Anolis sagrei: one gene and its partners. The protein of the gene in region 2 interacts with the protein of the main gene of each other region in a biochemical or structural test. Links are inferred from orthologs where the notes say so. Each region holds a gene or a part of one and is shown on either strand. Other genes may lie near its edges.

Region 1 (8,496 bases), on a different chromosome or scaffold from region 2:
AGCCTGGTGATTTCCATCTGTGTTTCTTCTGGCCATTTCTTAATGTCACATAGCATCATATTTGGAGCCAAATCAGGGAATGCCTGAATAGTTGTTCCCAATAGTTAGTTGTTTTTTATTGTTAGCAGAGAAAGAGAGAAGATCAACATTGTTTAGTTTATAGCCGTGGTTCCCAACCTGTGGGCCTCGAGACCTAAAATAAGGTCTATGACTCTAGATTATTATAGTTTTCTGTAGGCAAGCAGATTGTGACTACTGGATGGTGTATGTTCTGTATCAGAAACTAGAGCTGTTGTGGTCTATCCAATGCAATTTTCTGAATCAGCACCCCAAATAACCAAACTGAATCTAAAGTTGACCAAAAACTGATTCATAACCCTTTTGGTACTAATATTGGAGAATGTTCATTGGTCAAAGCGGTCCCTGGTCAAGTGGTCCATGATCAGGCATGTAGCCGGGGGGGGGGGGGGCTTGGCGGCTTGAGCCCCCCCCCCCCGAAATTCTCATGGTGGTCCGCGAGAAGGCCTTACTAGTACATTATTTAAACTGTTATGTTTATTCATATCATGATCTGATCACCATGCTCAATATATCCCATATGCATGGGGGTATTGGGGTAACGATACAAAAGGTTTGCTAGAGCAGACCCTCTATCACTCAGACTCAGCCCCCCCCCAACCAAACTCAGCCCCCCCCCCCCCCCGAAACAAAATCCTGGCTACAGGCCTGTCCCTTGTCAAAAAAAGATTGGAAAGCACTGGTTTATGGTCATAGCATTAGTTATGTGCCAAAACTGGATAAGAATTGATTTCTAAGTGTCTCTTTTTAACAAAAGATTATTTGAGTGTCCTCAAATGAAAATTTAGTCAATAACCACACATTAACTAAACGTTTAGTTTGAATCTTGTGCTAAAACACAAAAATAATTATTGTCTGGGGACATTTATTTAATGTATGAAATGTGATTGTTCCGTTGCTTAGGAAACAGTTTTAAAAATGCTTCACCATGAGTGCCCTTGAAATACAAAGGAATAATGCTCATCCTTCCAGATGCCAAGGGGCACAGCTGTGTTACTAGTCCCTGGCTCATTGGGAGGAAAGTTACCAATACCTGATATTAAAGCACTAGTCTAGACATTTTGCTGCCTGCAGATGTTAGATACCAACTCCTGACGGCCCTAGCTAGCCTTCCTCATCAGATGATGGGGACCATGGTCCAAGAATACTTGGAAGACCACCCATTTGCTACGCCTAATGGATATTTTCCTGGTAGCAAACAAATATGAATAAGGATCCTTATGGATAGAAAAATATGTAAGCAAATATAAGTTCATTGTATAAGATAACCATTATCAAAATTGTTGTTGAAAAATTTATCTCCCCTCCAAAAAATAATGAATTAAACATAATTTCTATTATATATATATATATTTAAAATTAATACAAGTTCAGCAGTTGTGAAAGCCCTATGGTTCCATCTTTTGAAAGGGTTCATTTCTGCAACCAGCTGGAGCCTGGACATTCCTGGAGGGATTAAATCAGTGGTTCTCAATCTGTGAGTCCACATGTGTTTTGGCCTACAACTCCCAGAAATCCCAGCCAGTATAACAGCTAGGTTGCTGCGAGTTTTCCAGGCTATATGGCCATGTTCCAGAAGCATTCTCTCCTGACGTTTTTGTTTGTTTAATAATGTAATACAACTGTTTGGTTTGCTCCTGATACGATAAATAAATACCCTCTATAGCAAGCATCCTTTGAGGACAAAACATTAGAGCAGACTGCTTCTGGAACATGGCCATACAGCCAGAAAACTCACAGCAACCTAGTGATTGCGGCCATGAAAGACTTCGACAACACAGTTTACCAGCTGTTAGGATTTCTGGGAGTTGAAGGCCAAAACATCTGCAGACCCGCAAGTTGAGAACCACTGGATTATATCAATCATATTCTAACAAGCCCAAAAGCCCTGGGGACCCAGTGTGGTCTGGTTAGGTATTTTGCATGCTGTTTATTGTTTGATTTGGGGTTTTATGAATGGTGCTGTTAGAAATAGATATGGCTCTCTGGATGTGGGATACAAGAGGATCTTGGGATGTGGACAGAGCACAGCTGCCATCATCCTGGGCCAATCCCCACCAACATATGGTCATGATGGTAACCCTTCTCTCGGTCCCACCTCCAGTAGCTCCACTGGCTGCCAGTCTGTTACGGGGCATACTTCAAAGCACTTGACGGTTCAAGTTCAGGTTATTTGGTTGATCACATCCCTTTGTATGAACCTGCCCAGGCCCTGAGATCCCCAGGAGAGGCCTTTCTCTTACTTCCACCTCTATCTCAAGCTCAGTTGATAGAAATGAAGAGCAGGTCTTCCTTCTCAGTGGTTGTCCATCAACTCTGGAACCCCCTTCTTCCCAAGGAAGGCAGAATGGCCCTCTTCCTGCTTTTATATGTTTTTATGGATTTAATTTGAAATTTTAAAAATACTAATGATGTTTAAGGTAAAGCTAAAGGTTTTCCCCTGACATTAAGTCTGGTCGTGTCTGACTCTGGAAGTTGGTGCTCATCTCCATTTCTAAGCCAAATAGCCAGCGTTGTCCATAGCCACCTCCAAGGTCATGTGGCTAGCATGACTGCATGAAGCGTTGTTACCTTCCCACCTATTGATCTACTCACATTTGCATGCACAGCAGGAGCTCACGCCGCTCCCCGTATTTGAACCTGTGACCTTTTGATCAGCAAGTTCAGCAGCTCAGCGGCTTAACTCACTGTGCCACCTATTGATGTTTAATGCTGTTCTAATATTTGTATATTGGTATAGTTATGACAATGTCTAACGTTTGGTTCTGTTTTTATTATTATTACCAGCTTGGGGACCTGGCGGTGCCCAGGTTATTTGAGAACGGCATTGTTTGCCTGTGCTCCAAGTGTAGTTTAGGTCCAATGTTGGCTGGGTTCAGTGGTTGCAGGTGAACTACAGCTTCCATATGGAAGTTCCATTGACCATGGCCCATCCTCCTCCAAACTGCACCAGGATGCAGAATGGGTCACGGGGGCTCTGGTCTTGAACAGTTATTGGTATGTGGCACTGTGATCTGAGGAAGCGAGTGAAGGTACTGGAAGTCCCATCATCCATGGTCTGTCAGCCCAGAACCCGCACCAGGACATAGAGTGGGTCATGGAGGCTCTATGTGCCAAGTTTGCTCTTTATCAGTCATTGGTGTGGGTCTCAGTGTTCTCAGGAAGTGGGTGAAGGTACCGCAAGTCCCATCATCGATGGCCCATCATCTAACAAACCATGCCAGGAAGTAGAGTGGGTCATGGGGGCTCTATGTGCCAAGTTTGCTCTTGATCAGTCATTGGTGTGGGTAGGAATGGTCTCAAGAAGTGAATGAAGATACTGTAGTTCCCATCTTGTAAACTGTAACCTGCCCTGATCCCTCACTGAGAGACAGGGCGAGACAGAAATAAAGTTTTATAAATATTTTCAATTGTATGCTGATGTTTTTATGTTAACTGCTTTGCATCTCCTGCGGCAGAGATAAGGTGATGTATAAATAATAATTAATGGGTCTGTGTGTACCACATGTGGTTGAGATCCATCATTGGTGGGTTTCACAGTGGTCTCTGGATGTGGGTGGAGTGCAACCCCCATCAGGAAAAGGTAAAGGTTTCCTCTTGACATTAAGTCTAGTCATGTCTGACTCTGGGGGTGTGGGGCTCATCAAGAGCCAGCATTGTCCATAGGCACCTCCTAGATCATGTGGCCGGCATGACTACATGGAGCGCCTTTACCTTCTTGCCCAGGTGGTACCTATTTATCTATGCACATTTGTATGTTTTTGAACTGCTAGGTTGGCAGAAGCTGGGGCTAACAATGGGAGCTCACCCTGCTTCCCAGATTTGAACCACCAATCTTTCATAGAATCATAGAATCAAAGAGTTGGAAGAGACCTCATGGGCCATCCAGTCCAATCCCATTCTGCCAAGAAGCAGGAATATTGCATTCAAATCACCCCTGACAGATGGCCATCCAGCCTCTGTTTAAAAGCTTCCAAAGAAGGAGCCTCCACCACACTCCGGGGCAGAGAGTTCCACTGCTGAACGGCTCTCACAGTCAGGAAGTTCTTCCTCATGTTCAGATGGAATCTCCTTTCTTGTAGTTTGAAGCCATTGTTCTGCGGCCTAGTCTCCAAGGAAGCAGAAAACAAGCTTGCTCCCTCCTCCCTGTGGCTTCCTCTCACATATTTATACATGGCTATCATGTTTCCTCTCAGCCTTGTCTTCTTCAGGCTAAACATGCCCAGCTCGTTAAGCCGCTCCTCATAGGGCTTGTTCTCCAGACCTTTTATCATTTTAGTCACTCTCCTCTGGACACATTCCAGCTTGTCAATATCTCTCTTGAATTGTGGTACCCAGAACTGGACACAATATTCCAGGTGTGGTCTAACCAAAACAGAATAGAGGGGTAGCATTACTTCCCTGGATCTAGACACTATGCTCCTATTGATGCAGGCCAAAATCCCATTGGCTTTTTTTGCTGCTACATCACATTGTTGGCTCATGTTTAACTTGTTGTCCACGAGGACTCCAAGATCTTTTTCACACGTACTGCTCTCGAGCCAGGCGTCACCCATTCTGTATCTTTGCATTTCGTCTTAGCCTCTAATATCCTTTTGGTCAGCAAGTTCAACAGTTCAGCGGTTTAACCCGCTGTGCCACGGGCAGAACCCCCATTACTTCCCTCCCAAAAACCTCACTATTTTAAGATAGGTGTGATGGGTCTGTGTGTCAAATTTGGTCCAGATCCCTCATTGCTGGTCATGCGACTCTCTGGGTGAGGGAGCCATCCTGAAAATTTTTGTTGTTGTTCATTCGTTCAGTCGCTTATGACTCTTCGTGACCTCATGGACCAGCCCACGCCAGAGCTCCCTGTCGGCCGTCACCACCCCCAGCTCCTTCAAGGTCAAGCCAGTCACTTCAAGGATGCCATCCATCCATCTTGCCCATCATCCAACTTCCTTTTTCCTTCCATTTCCCCCAAGCATTGTTGTCTTCTCTAAGCTTTCCTGTCTTCTCATGATGTGGCCAAAATACTTCATCTTGGCCTCTAATATCCTTCCCTCCTGAAAAATACACGCATACATATTTTGACTTCTATTTATGCAGCTATGCAATCACAGGTGCCTCCATCAGTCCTGCCCTGGCCTTTCTTCTCCCTGGCCTCCCCGTAGGCGGGGCCTCTCGAACAAGCCACGCCCACCGAGGAGGTGTGAGCGCGCAGCCAGAGACGCGTTTGGGACGGAGGCGGAGGTTTGGACGCTGTCGGCCCCCGTAAGCCGCGAGTGTGCTGTCGATTCCTGCTCGGGTAGCTGCCGTTGTGGAGAGCAAGAGGGCCGCCATGAGCGAGAAGGGGGAGCTGGACCTGACCGGGGCCAAGCAGAACACGGGCATGTGGCTCGTCAAGGTGAGCGGGAGGGAGGAAGGGAGGGAGGGAGAGAAGAGGCCTCCTCTTTCCGGGAAATGGCGGACAAAAGTTGCCAAACAGGGCGCAGTGTGGAGAAAGTGGCCTCCAAGGCTGCCCACCCCCTCCCCGCCCCTCACTCGTTGTATGAATGCATGGCGGTGCCTGAGGGAGAGAGAGAGAGAGGGTGAGTGAGGTGGTGACAGCCAAGACTTCAGGGGGCTCAGTCCCAGTCATGAAGCAGGAATGATCTGCAATGGAGCCCTTGAGTGCTTAGAGAAGGAGGACACCAAGAAGTGCGCTCTTGGAAGGCCAGACTGTCAAGGGAGAGGGGCTGCATTGTTCCTCTTCCTCCCTTGTACCCAGGGCCACATCAGCCTCGTGGTTGCCTTCAAGGGGCCCTTAAGTCTGTGGAGACAGAGGGCCAACTATATTTTTTTAACATAGTGAGCTTTATCACTGGGTTGTTGTAGGGTTTTTGGGCTATATGGCCATTTGATAGAAGCATTCTCTCCTGACGTTTCGCCTGCATCTATAGACAGCATCCTCAGAGGTTGTGAGGCCATAGGTCAGTGGTTCTCAACCTTCCTGATGCCGCAACCCCTTAATACAGTACCTCATGTTGTGGTGACCCCCAACAATGAAATCATTTTCGTTGCTAATTCATAACTGGAATTTTGTTACTGTTATGAATGGTTTTAGTTGCTGGGATTTATAGTTCACTTCCAATCAAAGAGCATTCTGAACTCCACCAACAATGGAATCGAACCAAACTTGGCACCCAGAACTCCCATGACCAACAGAAAATACTGGAAAGGGTTGGTAGGCATTGGCATTGAGTTTGGGAGTTGTAGTTCACCTACATCCAGAGAGCACTGCGGACTCAAACAGTGACAGATCTGGACCAAACTTGGCACGAATACTCAATATGCCCAATATGTGAACACTGGTAGAGTTTGGGGGAAATAGATCTTGATATTTGGGAGTTGTAATTGCAGAGATTTATAGTTCACTTACCATCAAGGAGCACTCTGAACCCACCCCACAATTTATCTGCTCCAAACTTGGCACACTACCTACATGGCCAATATTGAATACTGGTGGGGTTGGGGCAAGCTGTTTTTGAATTCTGGGAGTTGTAGTTCACCAACACCAAAAAAGGAAAAGAAGGATAGGCAGACATATGTTCAGCCTTTTCTCCAAGAGGGTTACTAAGACCATCAGAAATATGTTTTCAGATGGACTTTGGTGACCCCCCCTCTCTGAAACCGTCTCGTGACCCCCCCAAGAGTTCCAACCCCCACGTTGAGAAGCACTGCCATAGATGCAGGTGAAACGTCAGGAGAGAATGCTTCTAGAACATAGCCATATGGCCCGAAAAACCTACAACAACCTATAGTGAGCTTGAGTTTGTTGCCCAGTTCAGGTCCCCAGATGTCATTAAACGACAGCTCTCACCACTTTGAATTATCCACCATGTGAACTGGGGATGATGGGAATTGAACCCAACAGCACTTGCAGCTCTGGGGATAGGGAAACGTGAAAAGACATTTTAAAGCCAGGCATCCTGTTCACAAGCCGTGTATCTCAATTCAAGCCCCACTCTCCTGACCTATCCTAAAGTCACTCCACTTTTTGCCAATTAATTTCCCAGCAAAGTACAAGGTGGTGGTTTTGATCTTTAAAACCCCACATAGTTTGGGTCCACGTCACCTAAAGGATCACCTTCTCCTGTACAATCCATCTTGTACACTTTGGCTTTGACTACTGCAACACGCTGGGGTTGCCTATGAAGACTGTTCGGAAGCTTCAATTGGTCCAACAGGTGGCAGCCAGATTACTCACTGGAGCGGGGTACAGGGAACATACAACCCCCCTGCTGCGTCAGCTCCACTGGCTGCCAGTTTCCTACCAAGCACAGTACAAAGTGCTAGCTTTAGCCTATAAGAAGCAACAAGATCCTGAGCTGCGCTAATGGGGATTCTCAATCTGAGGAAATCTAAGGTGATCCTCCCCCCCAATCCCCCCCTCTGACCCAGCCAGGGAGCCCGGGGCAATCAGGGGTTCCGAAAGAGGCCCGAAAAAGGTCCGGGGGTCAGATTAACCCTAAAGAAGAGAACGGAGGAGGAGGAGGAGGAGGAGCGAGGTAGAGCGCTGCCATTACAATGCAGCCGCCTCCCTCAAGCCTTTAAGATCTAACCGTGGCGGTTCCTCGCGACACCATCACCGCTGCTGCCACCACCTATCACCTTACTACAGCCCGTTGCGGAGTCACCTCCAGGCTATTGAGGGTAGACTGCAGCGGGCCCGCCATCCCAGGCACGGCCCGGGAGTGGCCTATCATCCCAGGCACGGCCGACGTCGCCGCCGACGCCGCCAGCGGTATTAACACCCAGCGCTCCTTCGGGCCTGCTAGGCCCCGCAGCCACGAGCCCCTCCCTCCCGCCGGTCCGGGGGAGGGAGAGAAGGAAGAAGGCCCTCGAGCACTCCGTCGGGCCCATTAGGCCCCGCCGCCGCGAGCCCCTCCCTCCCGCCGGTCCAGGGGAGGGGAGAAGGAAGAAGACTCTCCAGCGCTCCTTCGGGCCTGCTAGGCCCCACCGCCGCGCACTCCTCCCTCCCCGCTGAGAACGCGCTGCTCGGATCCCTCCGTGCTTCCATCTGGTGGTGGCCGGAGTGCAGGAGCTGTGTTGGCTCGGCGCTGCCATTGTATTGCATCGGCTCGGCCCCCATCACCAATAGCAGCGGCCCTCTGCTGGCTGAGTTGTGCCACCAACAGTGGAATTCCATCATTGACTGCTTCCTTGCCATCCGGATCTCATCGTCAACGCGGGACATTTTCCATCGCGCCACTAGCGTCCGGAATAAACATCGCCACTCCTCCATTAGTGGGGGCCCAAGCAACAACCGGAAGGCCTAGAAGCTCAGTGTTCTGCTGCTGCCATCCAGAACTCATAGCAACAGAAATCCTGTTACCTCCTGCAACATCGCCCCCTTTGGCTGGAGGTGCAATTGATATCACTCCACACAGCTGCTAG
Region 2 (7,988 bases):
AGCAATGTGGTCATAATAAGGAAAGTCAGACAGCAAAAGATGTTGCTCAGCAGCAATTTTTTATGGATATGAAATGTAAGAGTTCATTGTTTTCACAAAAGCAGATTAGATATTAAAAAAACACACCTCTAAATATACTTGATAGTGCTTAGCAATGCACTAAAATGACCTGACTAGGAAGTTATATCACATTGTCTTCATTTAGAAATTGTACCTATAACGTCATTCATCCCTCAGAAAACACAATCCACATGTGAGTTCTGCTTATCTGTTTAATTCTCCAATGCCAGACACGGGCTATTTAGAAGATACAGCAATTCTATTTTCTTGCAATGACTTCAATTCTGGAGACTTGATTTTTTTATAAAAATCAACCTGGACTGCATTAACAAAAGAGTTTTTAAAAAGGCCAGGATAGTGACAAAGGTTTTTAAGCAGGATCCAAGACAGATGTTAGAAACTAAGTCTAGCAGCACTGCTAGTCCTACAAAAAGCATTATGTGAACTACTTCAGTTCCAATGTATGTGAGATGCAACTTGCAAGTTGATTCCTGCCTTTGCTGAAGTGTTAGTCCCCATCTAGACTGTCATATAATGCAGTTTAACTGTATTGAACTGAGTCTACATTGCCATACAATGTGGTTAAATTGCATAATGAAATTGCATTATTTGGCAATATAGATGGGACCTTAATCACTAAAATAAGTGAGTTCTGAGATGGAATGACTGAAGGGAAGGCTAGATGACAGATGAAGTCACAGACTTGGGCAAAGATCACTACAAACCAGGTTAAGGGGAAAGGTTTCCCCTTGACATCAAGTCTAATCAAGTTCATTTCAAAGCGAAGTACTGGCGTTGTCCATAGATGCCTCCAAGGTCATGTGGTCAATATGACTGTATGGATCGTTGTTACCTTCCTGCCAAAGTGGCACCTACTGATATACTCACATTTGCATGTTTTCGAACTGCTGGGTTGGCAGAAGCTGGGGCTTGCAATGGGACTTCACCTTGTCCCATGGATTCAAACCTCCAACCTTCTGGTCAGCAAGTTCTGCAGCTTAGCAGTTTAACCAGCTGCACCACCAAAGCCCCTAGAAACCAGGTTACCATTTCTAAAAAAAACAGTCACAGTTGCTATCCTTGCATTACCCAGATACTAAAACATTAGTACTGTGTAGTGTTTAAATTAAAGTTAGACTCTCAAGAAACTGACAATAAAATAATCAAAGAAATAAAAAGATTATAAATAAAACTAAAATGAATTCAATTTTAGCAGAAATGTAAGTTTAAACTTGGCACCATAATCCCACACCAAAAATGTTTTAAAACATATGTTACTGACCTTCATGAAGTTAAAAATTTACTGTTTGCCAATTAAATTAAAATACATACTGCCTTCACAAAGCTGTTTCTATGCTGCAGTAAAATAAGTACATTGAACTTGTCTTTATTTCCTTCTAATTACTGTATTTTAATTTTAATATCAGTTTATGGTATGGTGGATAGCATTCGTTCGGCTTGTTTATAATGATAACTCTAAAGCAGGCATGGGCAAACTTGTGCTCTCCAGATGTTTTGGACTTCAACTCCCACAATTGTGGGAGTTGAAGTCCAAAACATCTGGAGGACCGGTGTTTGCCCATGCTTGCTCTAAAGTAACCAGAAACTACATTTATCCAGCATCTACCAATCTCCATGGGTGTCAATTAGCAGAGAATCCACTGTACAGTAAACGTAATAATCATTGTGATCATTTCTGTTTTGTTTTGAACTCTCTCTCTCCCTTAAACTCTGTTGTTGGAAGGCCAGGAAATCTCTCATCAGCTGAAAGCATTAGTCACCTTTTACTGTACTTCCTTCATAACAGAGAGGCCTCTACAGGCTCTTCCCCACCTTCTCAGAAACTTTATGGAAGAGCCCCCAGTATTACGAAAGACTGTCTTGTTAAACACGACGTGTAACAAAGCCACACACAAAGGTAAAATCATTTTTTAAAAGGAAAGGGGTGAGAGTCAGATAACCTTTTATCTATATAAATAAAAATGTAATGTTAGTTTGTGGGATTAACAGAACTCAAAAACCACTGGACGAACTGACACCAAATTTGGACACAAGACACCTAACAACCCAATGTATGTCCTTCACTCAAAAATTGATTTTGTCATTTGGGAGTTGTAGTTGCTGGGATTTATAGTTCACCTACAATCAAAGAGCATTCTGAACCCCACCAACAATGGAATTGGACCAAACTTGTAACACAGTTCTCCTATGACCAACAGAAAATACTGGAAGGGTTTGGTGGGCAGTGTCCTTTGGTTTTGGAGTTGTAGTTCACCTACATCCAGAGAGCACTCTGGACTCAAACAATGATGGATCTGGACCAAACTCTACAGAAATACTCAATATGCCCAAATGTGAACACTGGTGGAGTTTGGGGAAAATAGAATCTTGACATTTGGGAGTTGTAGTTGCCGGGATATATAGTTCACCTACAATCACAGAGCATTCTGAACCCCACCAACGATAGGATTGGGCCAAACCTCTCACACAGAACCCCCATGTGGCCCACAGCAATGTGTGGCAGGGGACGGCTAGTATAATCTATATAGATAAATATGTAATGGCTGTGGGATTAACATAACTCAAAAACCACTGGACGAATTGGCACCAAATTTGGACACAATACACCTCTCTGGCCAACGAGTGACCATCACTCATGAAAACACTGAAAAACACAGATGAATACTTTAAAAGCCAAACAATAAAAAAAAACATTACAACGTATGCACATAAATACACACATACACACACACAAAGCAGACATACACAGACTGGGCCACAGCAATGCGTGGCAGGGGACGGCTAGTAATATAGTATGCAATTAATGTAAGTTGCCCCAAGAATGGCGTCTAACAGCCTTGCCACACATCCAAAATATGGGTTTAAAGGAGAAAGGCCTAGGGGTGTAGCCACACCACAGAATTACAGCAAGTTTGACCCCTCTTCAACTTCCACGGCGCAATGCTCTAAAATTCTGGGGTTTGTCATTTACGGGGGCGCCTGAGCTCCCTGACAGAGAAGGCCAAACACCTCCCAACACCCGAAATGCTATAGTCTGAACCGTGACACTGGAAGCAAGAGTCAGGCCGAAGTCTTTCCAAGCGGACTCCCTTCCTCCCCTTCCCCCGGATCAGCCGCGCTCTCCCTGGTCCGCTTCCGGGGGAGAAAAACCCATCCAAACCCCTTCTAGCTTCTCCCACTGACCGGCTCGTCGACGCCATCTTGCTTCCTCTTTTGCCGCGGCGCCTGCGTAGCGTTGGGCGGCGCCCCTTTTATGCCTTACGCTCCGGTGGGCGGGGCTTGGCGAAGGCCAGCCGCTACGGCGAGTGGCGTGGAACAATTGTTTTGCAAAGGCAAAGGAATGGAATGCGAGCCCAAGCTCCTCCCCTTTCCCACTCATTGCGAGGTTGTCATTTCAAGTCCGGTTTCTCTGCCAAGTTTGTGATCCACTTAAAGTGAATTCATTTTCTAGTGTGATACAGAGCCTGGTCTTTCCTGTTGAACGAATATTAGTGATGTGCATTCCTTGGATAGCTTAGAGCAGACTTTGGATTGGTCCACATTTGCAACAGTTTTGGAAGTGTCCCTTGCCAAAGGGTCTATAGATCAGGCATGGGCAAATGGAATAGTGTATCCAAGTCTGGGGACCACAGTTGAAGAGAGATATTGACAAGCTGGAATGTGTCCAGAGGGGGGGGGGGGGGGGCGATTGAAATGATCAAGGGTCTGGAGAACAAGCCCTATGAGGAGTGGCTTAAAAAGCTGAGCATGTTTAGCCTTCAGAAGAGAAGGCTGAGAGGAGACATGATAGCCATGTATAAATATGTGAGAGGAAGTCATAGGGAGGAGGGAGCAAGCTTGTTTTCTGCTGTCTGGAGTCTAGGACGTGGAACAATGGCTTCAAACTACAAGAGAGGAGATTCTATCTGAACAAAAGGAAGAACTTCCTGACTGTGAGAGCTGTTCAGCGGTGGAACTTTCTGCCCCAGAGTGTAGTGGAGAGTCCTTCTTTGGAAGCTTTTAAACAGAGGCTGGATGGCCATCTGTCAGAGGAGTGCTTTGAATGCAATTTTCCTGCTTCTTGGCAGGGGGTTGGACTAGATGACCCATGAGGTTTCTTCCAACTCTATGATTTTATGATTCTATGATTCTACATTCATTAACTACTGAGCCACCCACTTAAGAAATGGCAATCTACTGTGTTCATCACATGAGGTAAGCTTCAAGTGTAGGGTAGAGATATCTTGGGGATAAAAAAGCATTGCAAAGGGTTATCTAGCCGAGGGGCCTTCTCCATTGTGGCCCCTCAGCTTTGTAACTCACTACCTAGTGAGATTAGGCAAGACCCCACCCTGGCAGACTTTAAGAAAGACCTAAAAACCTAGCTCTTCCAGCATGCCTTTGACTTCCTCCTTCCTTGCTTGCTTGCTTCCATGTGTTGTGTGTGCCATGTGTTACTCACCCAGGCACCTTCTTCCCTCCTCCTCCTCTGGTTGACCTCAAGAGCCATCCCCCTTCTTTCTGCCATGTAGCAAAAGCACAATCAATCAATCAATAATAATAACAACAACAACAACAACAACACTTAATTCATATTCTACCCGATCTCCCCAAGGGGACACAGGGCGGATCACAGTATACATACACGGCAAACATTCAATGCTGTTTTGGATAGAAAATACAGAGACTGACAAAACAGAAGGAGGTATGTTGTGTCAACATCAAAGTCCATTTTTTTCACGCCTTGGAAGGTTGTGCTTGAAATCTAGCCATGGGAGTGCTGTCACTCCATCCTCTATGACGAAGAGCCATCAGGACTTCCTCCTTCCCTTTGGTCGCCCAGCATTTTCTGATCTTTTTTCTTTAAGGTGTCGTAAAATACCTCCCCTGCTTGTTTTAGCGGTAAGCTGTTTTCAAACTGCTTAGGTCAACAGTAAGCAGGCTTGACAGTCAGCAGCTCACACTGACCCAGGTATTTGAACTGGCAACTTTTTGGTTGGTAGATCTTCTCATTGCTGGTGATTTACCAGCTGTGCTAAACCCCAGCCCAAAGCACCCCTGTTCCATCTCCCAGGAGCATGAGTTTTGCATTACCTTTTAGTTGCTGGAAACAGCCTCTCCTTGTGTTTATCCCAGGCTGCTGCAGCCTTTGCTAGGCCTAAAAGGTTAGCAGACAGAGGCAGGAAAGCCAGTTTGCAGGCTCTCTGCAATGATTGGCCAAAGAGTAGCTCTTTGGGCCCGCCCCTGTTTCCAGTGTAGAAGCATCCATTTTGGAGGTCTCCCTGCCCCTTCAGTCTTAAAGAAGAATCCATGATGTGCTGTTGGCAGACAGGTACCTCCAAAGATACCATTGTAAAAACAATTGAGACCGATAGATAGATAGATAGATAGATAGATAGATAGAGTCATAGATAGAAAACAATTTTGATTGAGTTATTTAGTTAGAGATAGATAGATTAAAAGAGAACTGTTTAGATAGTTATAGAGGATTATCTAGATAGTTATAGAGATACCCTTTTTGGAGAAAGTTATACCCTTTTTGGAAAAAGATTGCCTCAACTATTGAACCCCAATTGACTGTTTGTTTTGTAATATTGATAAGCTGAGCCAAGTCTACCAGGACTTCGTGAATAAATACCCTGTTTGATGTTTCAAACTTGAAGTGGACTCAGTTATTCAAGAAAGCTCAATCTTCTAAAGAAAGACCCCAGCAGTTCGCCCAGACCTAGATAGCAGCACGTCAAAGTTTTATTTTAAAGTGTCTGGGCGTAACGGCACAACCCCTAACAGATGGGCATCCTGCATCTGAATAATAATATTAAAGAAAATATGTTCCTAGTTACAAGTGTTATTTCCTGTTTAATTGTGTAGTCCTTACTTTTGTTGTGCTCCAAAAACTATGTTAAATTGGCGGAGACTCTACATGATGTTCAATCATTGAGAAACTAGAGCCAAATGTGCTATAGCAGGATGTCCTTGCAAAGACTAAGTTTTTGCAGTTTAATCATATTTTCCCATGTGTTTATGATAGAGGTAAATGTAAAGGTTTCCCCTAACATTAAATCTAGTCGTGTCTGACTCTGGGGGGGGGGGGGGTGTTCATCTCAATTTCTAACCCAAAGAACCAGCGTTGTCCGTAGATGCTGTCCTGCGGATTTGAACCACCGATCTTCTAGTCAGCAAGTTCTGCAGCTTAGCAGTTTAACCTGCTGCGCCACCGTGGAACCAATTAGGAAATTACATTTATAACCCAGGAATAAAAATCATAGTCCCATTAGAGGAAGTGTTCCTTTTCACCAAGAAAACAGGGGACAGTGAACGGGATCCACTCTATACAATGTGATGGCAAATCAACTGAGAACTCCTGAATAAAACAGATAGTTTGCTAGTGTGTGATGGAGGCAAGAAAATCATCCATTTAATTTCAAAACAGAGTATCTCTCAGCTGTATGGTAATCTACTCTTTCAAACACTTGACATGTTCAGTGGGATTACCTCTTTAATGTAATTTGACACCACTTGTCAAACTCCCTCCTGGGCACACAGAAGACTGGGCGACTTGAAAGATGCTGAACAGATTGCACTCTGGCACCACGAGATGCAGAGCCAATCTTAAGAAACTGGTCTACAAAGTGGAGTCCATGACATGCGAGTGTGGAGAAGAGCAAACCACAGACCACCTATTACAATGCAGTCTGAGCCCTGCCACATGCACAATGGAGGACCTTCTTACAGTGACACCAGACCCACTCGAAGTGGCCAGCTTCTGGTCAAAGGAAATTTAGTATAATGCCAAGTTTTAAACTTTGTGGTCTTCTATACATTATAACTCAATTCGCTTCTGACACAATAAATAAATACGACACCACTTGAACTGCCATGACTCAGTGAGAAAATCTACTGATCATGGGGAAATGACAAGCCCAGACTCTCTTCAGTGTATAAGACAAATGAAAACAGCTCTTTGTGTAAAAATTATGACGGAGTTTCAAATTTAATGATTTGTTCAATCAAGTCAACTTTACATGTTATAAAATTGACATTACTGAGTAGATACTTGAGGACCATTTTTGTAAAATAAAAATGCAAAAATTGAAGGGACAGTAACATATCCAGCTACCCAGTGAGAAAATGTAGTTATCATGGGGAAATGACAAGCCCACACTCAAGGAATCATACTGATCTCCAAGCCATTTCCCTCCAAAATCAGTATCATCTATGCAAAATCACTGTCCATAGAATCTCTTATTTATTCTAGCTACAAGGCCTTTGGCATGATTAGTTTTTGTATATATTTCTACCACAATTCTGTGCAACACCTGCTCAAAATATACTGACTTATAACTGCATTAGCTGCTCAGAATGTTGTTGTGCTATTTACTGAACTTACTCAAAGGTTTGAATATTATCATACATTCATTTGCAGCAAGCCCATCTTGAAGAGAGAAAACAGAACACTTCAATATCAGATTGACTTATTGAAGATGCGCAACTTGCAGCTGGAGCTGGAGAACAAGTTCCATAGGTCAAACCAGTGCCGCCCAGTTCATGGAGATCCAGACCCGAAAACCAGAATCCCCCACAGCAGGTCGCCAGAGGAGCCCGTCTCCTCTCTTGAGCCCGGTCCCTCCAGAGGAGGCCACAGGATCCGACTGCACTGATGTGGAGGCGAGAATTCTGCAAGGAAAACATCATGGACTGCAGGAAAAAGCAACTGTGCCGCCTCTCCAGGAAGGCAAAGGGACACCAGTGGAGGCAGCTGAGTCGGAGGATGAGGAAAGCTTTATCTTTGACATGTCACGGAAGATCAGAAGAACAAGGAAGGCTTTGGCTGCTGCTGCCCAAACTAAGGATCCATCTGAGCAGGAGGTGAACGAATGGAATGACCAGGTGGATCAAGGAAAACAGAACCTCTTGACCATCTTCAA
Region 3 (7,863 bases), on a different chromosome or scaffold from region 2:
AATTTGAACTCCCTATAAAAGCCAAGATGACTAAGGGCCATGAGAAGACATGGCTAACTGGAAAAGAAAATAATGCTTAGTAAGGTAAAAGGCAGTAGGAAAAGAGGAAGACTCCATTACAGAATTGGGCCATGCTGGAAAAGCACAATCAAAGTACCTTCGACAGATGGCCATTCAGCCTTTGTTTAAAAGCCTCCAAAAAAGAGGCAGAGTTCCACTGCTAAATAGCACTTACATTCAGGAAATTCTTCCTAATATTCACATGGAACCTCCTTTCCTGGAATTTGAACCCATTGTTCCAGTGAGTGCCCAACTCCAGGGCATGTCTGCTCCCTATTCCTTATGATATCCTTTCACATATTTATCCATGGCTATGATGTCTCCTCTCAACCTTCTCTTCTGCAGGCTAAACATCCCCAGCTCTTTACGATGCTCTTCATAGGGCATGGTCTCCAGACCTTTGAACATTTTAGGGCCCTTCCACACTGCCCTTCATCCCAGGATCTGATCCCAGATTATCTGCTTTAAACTGGAATGTATGTGTCCCCAATGCCAGATAAACTGGGATCAGATTCTGGGATAAAGGGGCAGTGTGGAAGAGCCCTTATAATCATAGAATCCTAGAGTTGGAAGAGACCTTATGGGCCACCCAGTCCAACCCCCTGCCAAGAAGCAGGAATATTCACTTCAAAGCAGATAATCTGGATTTTATATGGTAATGTAGAAGGGGCATGGGTGAGAGGAATAACAGGAACACAGAGGGGAAATGGTTTAACTCAGGCATGAGCAAACTTGGACCCTCCAGGTGTTTTGGACTTCAACTCCCACAATTCCTAACAGCCTACCAGAGCAGTCTGGCTTTAGGCCGGGACATGGTACTGAGACAGCCTTGGTCGCCTTAGTGGATGATCTTTGCCGGGAACTAGACAGGGGGAGTGTGTCCCTGTTGGTTCTGCTGGACCTCTCATCGGCCTTCGATACTGTCAACCACGGTATCCTTCTGGGACGCCCGCGGGAATGGGCCTTGGGGGTACTGCTTTGCAGTGGCTCCAGTCCTTCCTCGAGGGTTGTTCCCAGAAGGTGTTACTAGGGGACTCCTGCTCGACCCCACGGCCATTGTAATGTGGAGTCCTGAAGGGTTCAGTAGTGTCCCCTATGTTATTTAACATATACATGAAGCCGTTGGGAGAGATCATCCGGAGTTTTGGGGTTCGGTGTCTTCTGTACGCAGATGATGTCCAACTCTGTTACTCCTTCCCACCTGCTACTAAGGAGGCTGTTCAAGTCCTGAACCGGTGCTTGGCCGCTGTAGCGGACAGGATGAGGGCGAACAGATTGAAATTAAATCCAGACAAGACGGAGGTACTCCTGGTCAGTCGAAAGGCCGAACAGGGCATAGGGTTACAGCCTGTGATCGACGGGGTTACACTTCCCCTGAAGACGCAGGTTCGCAGCTCAGGAGTGATCCTGGACTCATCGCTGAGCCTGGAACCCCAGGGGAGCTTTTGCATAATTAAAACTTGTGCGCCAGCTGCGCCCGTACCTTGGGAAGTCTGACTTTGCCACGGTGGTCCACGCTCTGGTTAGATCCCGTATAGACTACTGCAATGCTCTCTACATGGGGTTGCCTCTGAAGACTGCTCGGAAGCTGCAATCAGTCCAACGAGCGGCAGCCAGATTACTAACAGGAGCGGGGTACAGGAAGCATATTACTCCTCTGTTGCGCCAGCTCCACTGGCTGCCAATTAGCTTCCGAGCACAATTCAAAGTGCTGGTGTTGACCTACAAATGCCTAAACAACTCCGGCCCAGTTTCCCTATCGGAACGGATTCTCCCATATTTATTTATTTGGAGTGCTTCTACCCTGCCCTTCTCAACTCAGGGCGGCTTACAAAAATAGGTACAATTCGATGCTCAACAATTCACAAAGTACAATATACAAAATACAATATAACGACGTTATAACTAGTTAAAACAATCAAATTAATACAATAGCAGCAATAAAATCATCTTGTGGTCAACGTTCGCCAATTCATACATTCATAATCCATCCAGCATTGTCATTGTCCTTTTCTACTCTGGTCATCATTGTCTTTTATCCATCTGCCAGCTTACCCAAAGGCCTGGTCCCAAATCCAGGTTTTTAACTTCCTCCTGAAGGAGAGGAGGGATGTTGATGACCTAATTTCCCCGGGGAGTGCATTCCACAGGTGAGGGACCATCACCGAGAAAGCCCTGTCCCTCGTCCCCACCAGTCTCACTTGTGATAAAGGTGGGGCCGAGAACAGGGCCTCCCCAGAAGATCTTAAACTTCCGAGGTGGGATGTGGAAGGAGATACGTTCGGACAAGTATGCTGGGCCGGAGCCGTAAAGGATTTTGTAGGTCAAAACCAGCACTTTGAATTGTGCTCGGAAGCTATGAACCTTCAAGGTTGTTAAGATCTTCTGGAGGGGCCCTGCTCTCGGTCCCACCATCCTCGCAATCGCGTTTGGTGGGGACGCCTTTTTGGTGGTGGCCCCTTGGCCCTGGAACTCTTTCCCATTGGAAATTAGAACTGCCCCTTCCCTCCTGACCTTTAGAAAGTTGGTGAAAACCTGGCTTTGGAATCTGGCATTTGATGAATGAGGCAATGACTTTTGACCACACGGACAGATGGGGACGCATAGTGATTTTTATACTAACGACTTGCTTTATATATGATGATAGTGCTTTAATGTGTTTATATTAGTGTATTATTGATGTGATGTTTTTAAACTATTGTGCATGAACTCCCTTGTTGTAAACAGGCCTGAGTCCCTCGTTGGAGGTGAGAAGACCGGTATATAAAAGTTCTAAATAACACCCCCTCCCCTTCTCTGTCCAGCTCCCCTTTTAGCCTCCGTCCGGATAATGGCATAGTTATACCCAACACGCGTGCAAGCTTCTTGCCACAGGTGACCACACTCTCCCTGCTGCTTTTCTTCCTGAGGCAGATGTATTCTGGCCCGCCGCCATCCGAGTGTTTTCCCTTGAAGAGCACAGAATAGCAACACAAGCCCACCAAGCTACTCCCTCAAGAAAGAGGCCCTCGGGGCAGGCAAGGGTTGGAGCCGGTACAGCCCTCGGACTGACCTGTGAGGGACCCAAAAGCCAAGCTCCTTCGCCGCGAGACCCTCAGCGCGCGCGGGCGTGCGTCACGACTCTGCCTCCAAACACGATTCCGCTTGACGTCACTACTAAGCGACGCCTGGCGTTCCTCGCGCCTCCCCGCTCCTTCCTCGGCCAATAGGAAGGAAGCGACTGGCCAGTGGGCGGAATAGGAAGTGGCTCTTGGTCGGCGAGGAGGGATGGCGGCCCTGGAGCGGGTGAAAGTGCTGGTGCTGGGCGACTCCGGTGAGTGGAAGGGAAAGGGAAGGAATCACACTCGCCATGACGCTTCCAGGCCGCAAGCGTTTCCTATGTTGCAAACTGTGTTCCATAATGCTTGTAAGGGTTTTAATCACTTGGTTTTTAAATGGTACTAGTATTACAGGCATGGGCAAACTTGGGCTCTCCGGGTGTTTTGGACTTCATAGAATCCTAGAGTTGGAAAAGACCTCAGGGGCCATCCAGTCCAACCCCCTGCCAAGAAGCAGGAATGTTGCATTCAAATCACCCCTGACAGATGGACATCCAGCATCTGTTTAAAAGCTTCCAAAGAAGGAGCCTCCACCACACTCCGGGGCAGAGAGTTCCACTGCTAAACGGCTCTCACAGTCAGGAAGTTCTTCCTCATGTTCAGATGGAATCTCCTCTATTGTAGTTTGAAGCCATTGTTTCGTGTCCTAGTCTCCAGGGAAGCAGAAAACAAGCTTGCTCCCTCCTCCCTGTGGCTTCCTCTCACATATTTATACATGGCTATCATATCTCCTCTCAGCCTTCTCTTCTTCAAGCTAAACATGTCCAGCTCCTTAAGCCGCACCTCATAGGGCTTGTTCTCCAGACCCTTGATCGTTTTAGTCGCCCTCCTCTGGACACATTCCAGCTTGTCAATATCTCTCTTGAATTGTGGTGCCCAGAATTGGACACAATATTCCAGATGTGGTCTAACCAAAGCAGAATAGAGGGGTAGCATTACTTCCCTAGATCTAGACACTATGTTCCTATTGATGCAGACCAAAATCCCATTGGCTTTTTTTGCCGCCACATCACATTGTTGGCTCATGTTTAACTTGTTGTCCACGAGGACTCCAAGATCTTTTTCACACGTACTGCTCTCAAGCCAGGCATTGTCCCCCATTCTGTATCTTTGCATTTCATTTCTTCCTGCTAAAATGGAGGAAAAGTTTACTATTTATTTATTTATTTATTTGCTTCACTTTTATACCGCATATTTCAGCCCTTGACAGGCGACTCTATGCGGTTTACAGTGCAATTAAAAACACAGCAATAAAACAACCGGGATGACAACGTCGCTCCACAATTAACATCAGACAGACAAATCAACAAACAACATATATAGCGCCTTCGTTAAAGTCAGATCCATTCTCATAGTCATTGTGCCGTTCCTATGTTCAGTTACCGTCTTCCTTAGTTAGTTGCATTGCCTAGCCAAACGCTTGTTCGTAAAGCCAGGTCTTGACCATTCTCCGAAACGCCAGCAACGAAGGTGCCTGTCTGATGTCTGCTGGTAAGGCATTCCATAGCCGAGGGGCCACCACTGAGAAGGCCCTGTCTCTCGTCCCCGCCAAGCGCACCTGTGACGCAGGCGGGATCGAGAGCAGGGCCTCCCCAGACGATCTTAATATTCTAGTCGGTTCGTAGGCGGAAATGCGTTCGGAGAGGTAAGCGGGGCCAGAACCGTTTAGGGCTTTATAGGCCAAGGCCAGCACCTTGAATTGAGCCCGGTAGCGGATTGGCAGCCAGTGGAGCTGGCTCAGCAGAGGAGTGGTGTGCTCCCTGAGTGCCGCTCCTGTTAGCAACCTGGCTGCCGAGCGCTGGACCATCTGAAGCTTCCGGGCCGTCTTCAAGGGCAACCCCACGTAGAGCGCGTTGCAGTAATCAATCCGGGATGTGACCAGAGCGTGGACCACCGTGGCCAAGTCCGACTTCCCAAGGTACAGGCGCAGCTGGCGCACAAGTTTGAGTTGTGCAAATGCTCCCCTGGACACCGCCGAGACCTGGGGTTCCAAGCTTAGCGAGGAGTCCAGGATCACACCCAAGCTGCGAACCTGCATCTTCAGGGGGAGTGTAACCCCGTCCAACACAGGCTGTAACCCTATACCCTGTTCGGCCCTCCGACTGACCAGGAGTGCCTCTGTCTTATCTGGATTCAATTTCAATTTGTTCGCCCTCATCCAGTCCGATACAGCGGCCAAGCAACGGTTCAGGACCTGAACAGCCTCCTTAGTAGTAGGTGGGAAGGAGTGACAGAGTTGGACGTCATCTGCGTACAGATAACACCGCACTCCGAAACTCCGGATGATCTCTCCCAACGGCTTCATGTAGATGTTAAATAACATGGGGGACAATATAGAGCCCTGCGGAACCCCACAAGTCAATGGTTGTGGGGTAGAGCAGTTGTCCCCCAGCAACACCTTCTGAGTACGATCCTCTAGGAAGAACCTGAGCCACTGCAGAGCAGTGCCACCAAGGCCCATTCCCGCGAGGTGACTCAGAAGGATACCGTGGTCGACGGTATCGAAGGCCGCTGAGAGGTCCAGCAGAACGGATTAAGCTAAGATGGATTAAGCTGTATTTTGATTTGCATTACTGAATTCTCTATCTTCTGAACAACTCTGATGCACTCTTTTGTGAGACTACTGCAAATGTTATCCTTGAGATGAGTCACTTTTCAGGATGTTTCTTTTATCTGTGATTTTCTCAGGTTGGGCATACAACATGAGGAAATACAACATTAGGATGCTGTGCATACAACATTAGGAGGCTGATTTTGTTGTTGTGTGCCAATAAAGCAGACATGAGCAAACTTGGGCTCTCTGGGTGTTTTGGATTTCATCTTCCACCATTCCTTACAGCCTCAGGCCCCTTCCTTTCTTTCCTTTGTTTATTTATTTCAAACTCCTGCTTCTTGGCAGGGGGTTGGACTGGATGGCCCATGAGGTCAGAGATGGCCCTAGGTAATTTTCAATGATAAGCAAACAGTATTTTGCCCCCCCCCCCTCAACCAATCACTGATATATATTTTTTGTTCGTGGGAGTTCTGTGTGCAATATTTGGTTCAATTCCATCATTGGTGGAGTTCAGAATGCTCTTTGATTGTAGGTGAACTATACATCCCAGTAACAACACCTCGCATATGTCAAGGTCTATTTTCCCCCAAGAGCCCCTCAAGAGCGCCCTTGGGCAAAATCAACTATACTACGAATGCTTACTTTGCATAATGGGTTGAGCCGCCCCTGCATGTGGTCTCTTCCAACTCTATGATTCTATGATATGCAAAACAAATGGTTTTTCAAAGTGCATGATACATACAATATGCAATATTGTATTGCAATATACAAAATGCTGAGATCTTGGCTTCTACAGCAAGGTTTTGCAAAGAACTCCAAAGGGTATACTGTAAACTTCCCTGTTACACTCTACTGATTGTAGCAAAGAAACATTTGCTTTTAATGACACATGCAGTGCACCTACATATGGATTCTTCCTTTCTTCACACACATACATCTACGGTAAACTTAGTACTGAGCCTCATAAAAACTTACCCAGATTTCTATAAACCTTTACAAAATCTACCCTAGTGGGATTTTTTCTCATCAGGGTCACTTTTCAAAACAACAACTCTTCTTTCTCAAATAAAAAGTAAACCTTCAAGAAATACTATCCTTATTACAAAACCGATTTTTGTGGGAATCAGTGTGCAGGTATAAAACAGCACATATACAGTATCCCACATATTGCCTTTGATTGATAATACTATCAATATAACAAAATTTGAAAAAAAAATCTGTTCCTTGTTTGAAAGTGTTATTTCCTGTTTCATTGTGTGGTGCTTACTTTGAAACTAGTTGTTATACTCCAGAAACTTTATGTGGCTGCTGCAAACTATGTTGAATTAGTTGAGACTCTGAGATATTCATGGAAAGACTATAGCAAAATCTGCTGCAGGATGTCCCATAAAAACAAATCTATATTAATAATCATTTCCTATGGTTTTATGATGGAGTCAATTAGGAACAAAACTCATGTTATGTAGTGTAATTATATACAGTTGTTTATATACAATTGTTTCATCTGAGAGAATAAACAAAATTACAAACTGCATCAAAGCCCTTCAACTTCCTTTACTATCCTGAAGACTATGTCTTGCCGAGTTATCGGTTCCCAAGTTGACCAAAAAGAAGGAAACCTATCAGTCTCTTTGTTACATCACAGATTTTTGCTCTTAGGGGATAGCACACTTCTGAAGTCACCCCATTAGACATGCAAACCGCTTCATCTGTTCCCCTCAGCAGGGATCACGTGCCACCATCACAATCTGGCTCTTCCAGGGATACCTGCACTATTGCACTCCTTCCTCCTCATTTTCACTTACAAGTGCTTTAATAAAAATAATGCACATTCAATTTAAATCTCTTATTTTACATTTACAGTATACAATAAAACTGAAATAATAACAGATACATTTACTCTAAGGGCTCACTTTGTGCTTCTCTTGCAGGTGTGGGGAAGTCATCACTTGTTCACTTATTGTGTCACAATCAAATGTTGGGAAATCCCTCTTGGACTGTAGGTTGCTCCGTTGATGTTCGGGTAGGTGAAAATAAATTCATAATGCTGGGTATTACTGCATTTCAGAAACTATACTTTTAATAAATGGTATTACTAGGATGGCGGGGAGGTGGAGTCGCGGTAGTCTATAAAGATTCTATCCCCCTGAC

What was found. The genes of interacting proteins can lie anywhere in the genome.
Region 1: the proteins of GTF2B (region 2) and GTF2F2 form a complex in vitro, tested with the Homo sapiens proteins (2 studies listed by BioGRID and IntAct). The link is inferred for Anolis sagrei from reciprocal best matches to the Homo sapiens genes GTF2B and GTF2F2.
Region 3: the proteins of GTF2B (region 2) and GTF2E1 form a complex in vitro, tested with the Homo sapiens proteins (2 studies listed by BioGRID). The link is inferred for Anolis sagrei from reciprocal best matches to the Homo sapiens genes GTF2B and GTF2E1.

Annotation. Positions count from the first base shown.
Region 1 is NC_090023.1:144,294,447-144,302,942, reverse strand, and holds the start of GTF2F2 (general transcription factor IIF subunit 2), read left to right. Parts: upstream 1-5,273; 5' UTR 5,274-5,398; coding exon 5,399-5,464; intron 5,465-8,496. UniProt on the Homo sapiens protein: TFIIF is a general transcription initiation factor that binds to RNA polymerase II and helps to recruit it to the initiation complex in collaboration with TFIIB.
Region 2 is NC_090024.1:151,969,348-151,977,335, reverse strand, and holds the start of GTF2B (transcription initiation factor IIB), read right to left. Parts: upstream 3,354-7,988; 5' UTR 3,282-3,353; coding exon 3,265-3,281; intron 1-3,264. UniProt on the Homo sapiens protein: General transcription factor that plays a role in transcription initiation by RNA polymerase II (Pol II). Involved in the pre-initiation complex (PIC) formation and Pol II recruitment at promoter DNA.
Region 3 is NC_090022.1:165,541,189-165,549,051, reverse strand, and holds the start of GTF2E1 (general transcription factor IIE subunit 1), read right to left. Parts: upstream 3,224-7,863; 5' UTR 3,113-3,223; intron 1-3,112. Other genes in the region: RABL3 (rab-like protein 3), read left to right, coding at 3,328-3,373, 7,644-7,735.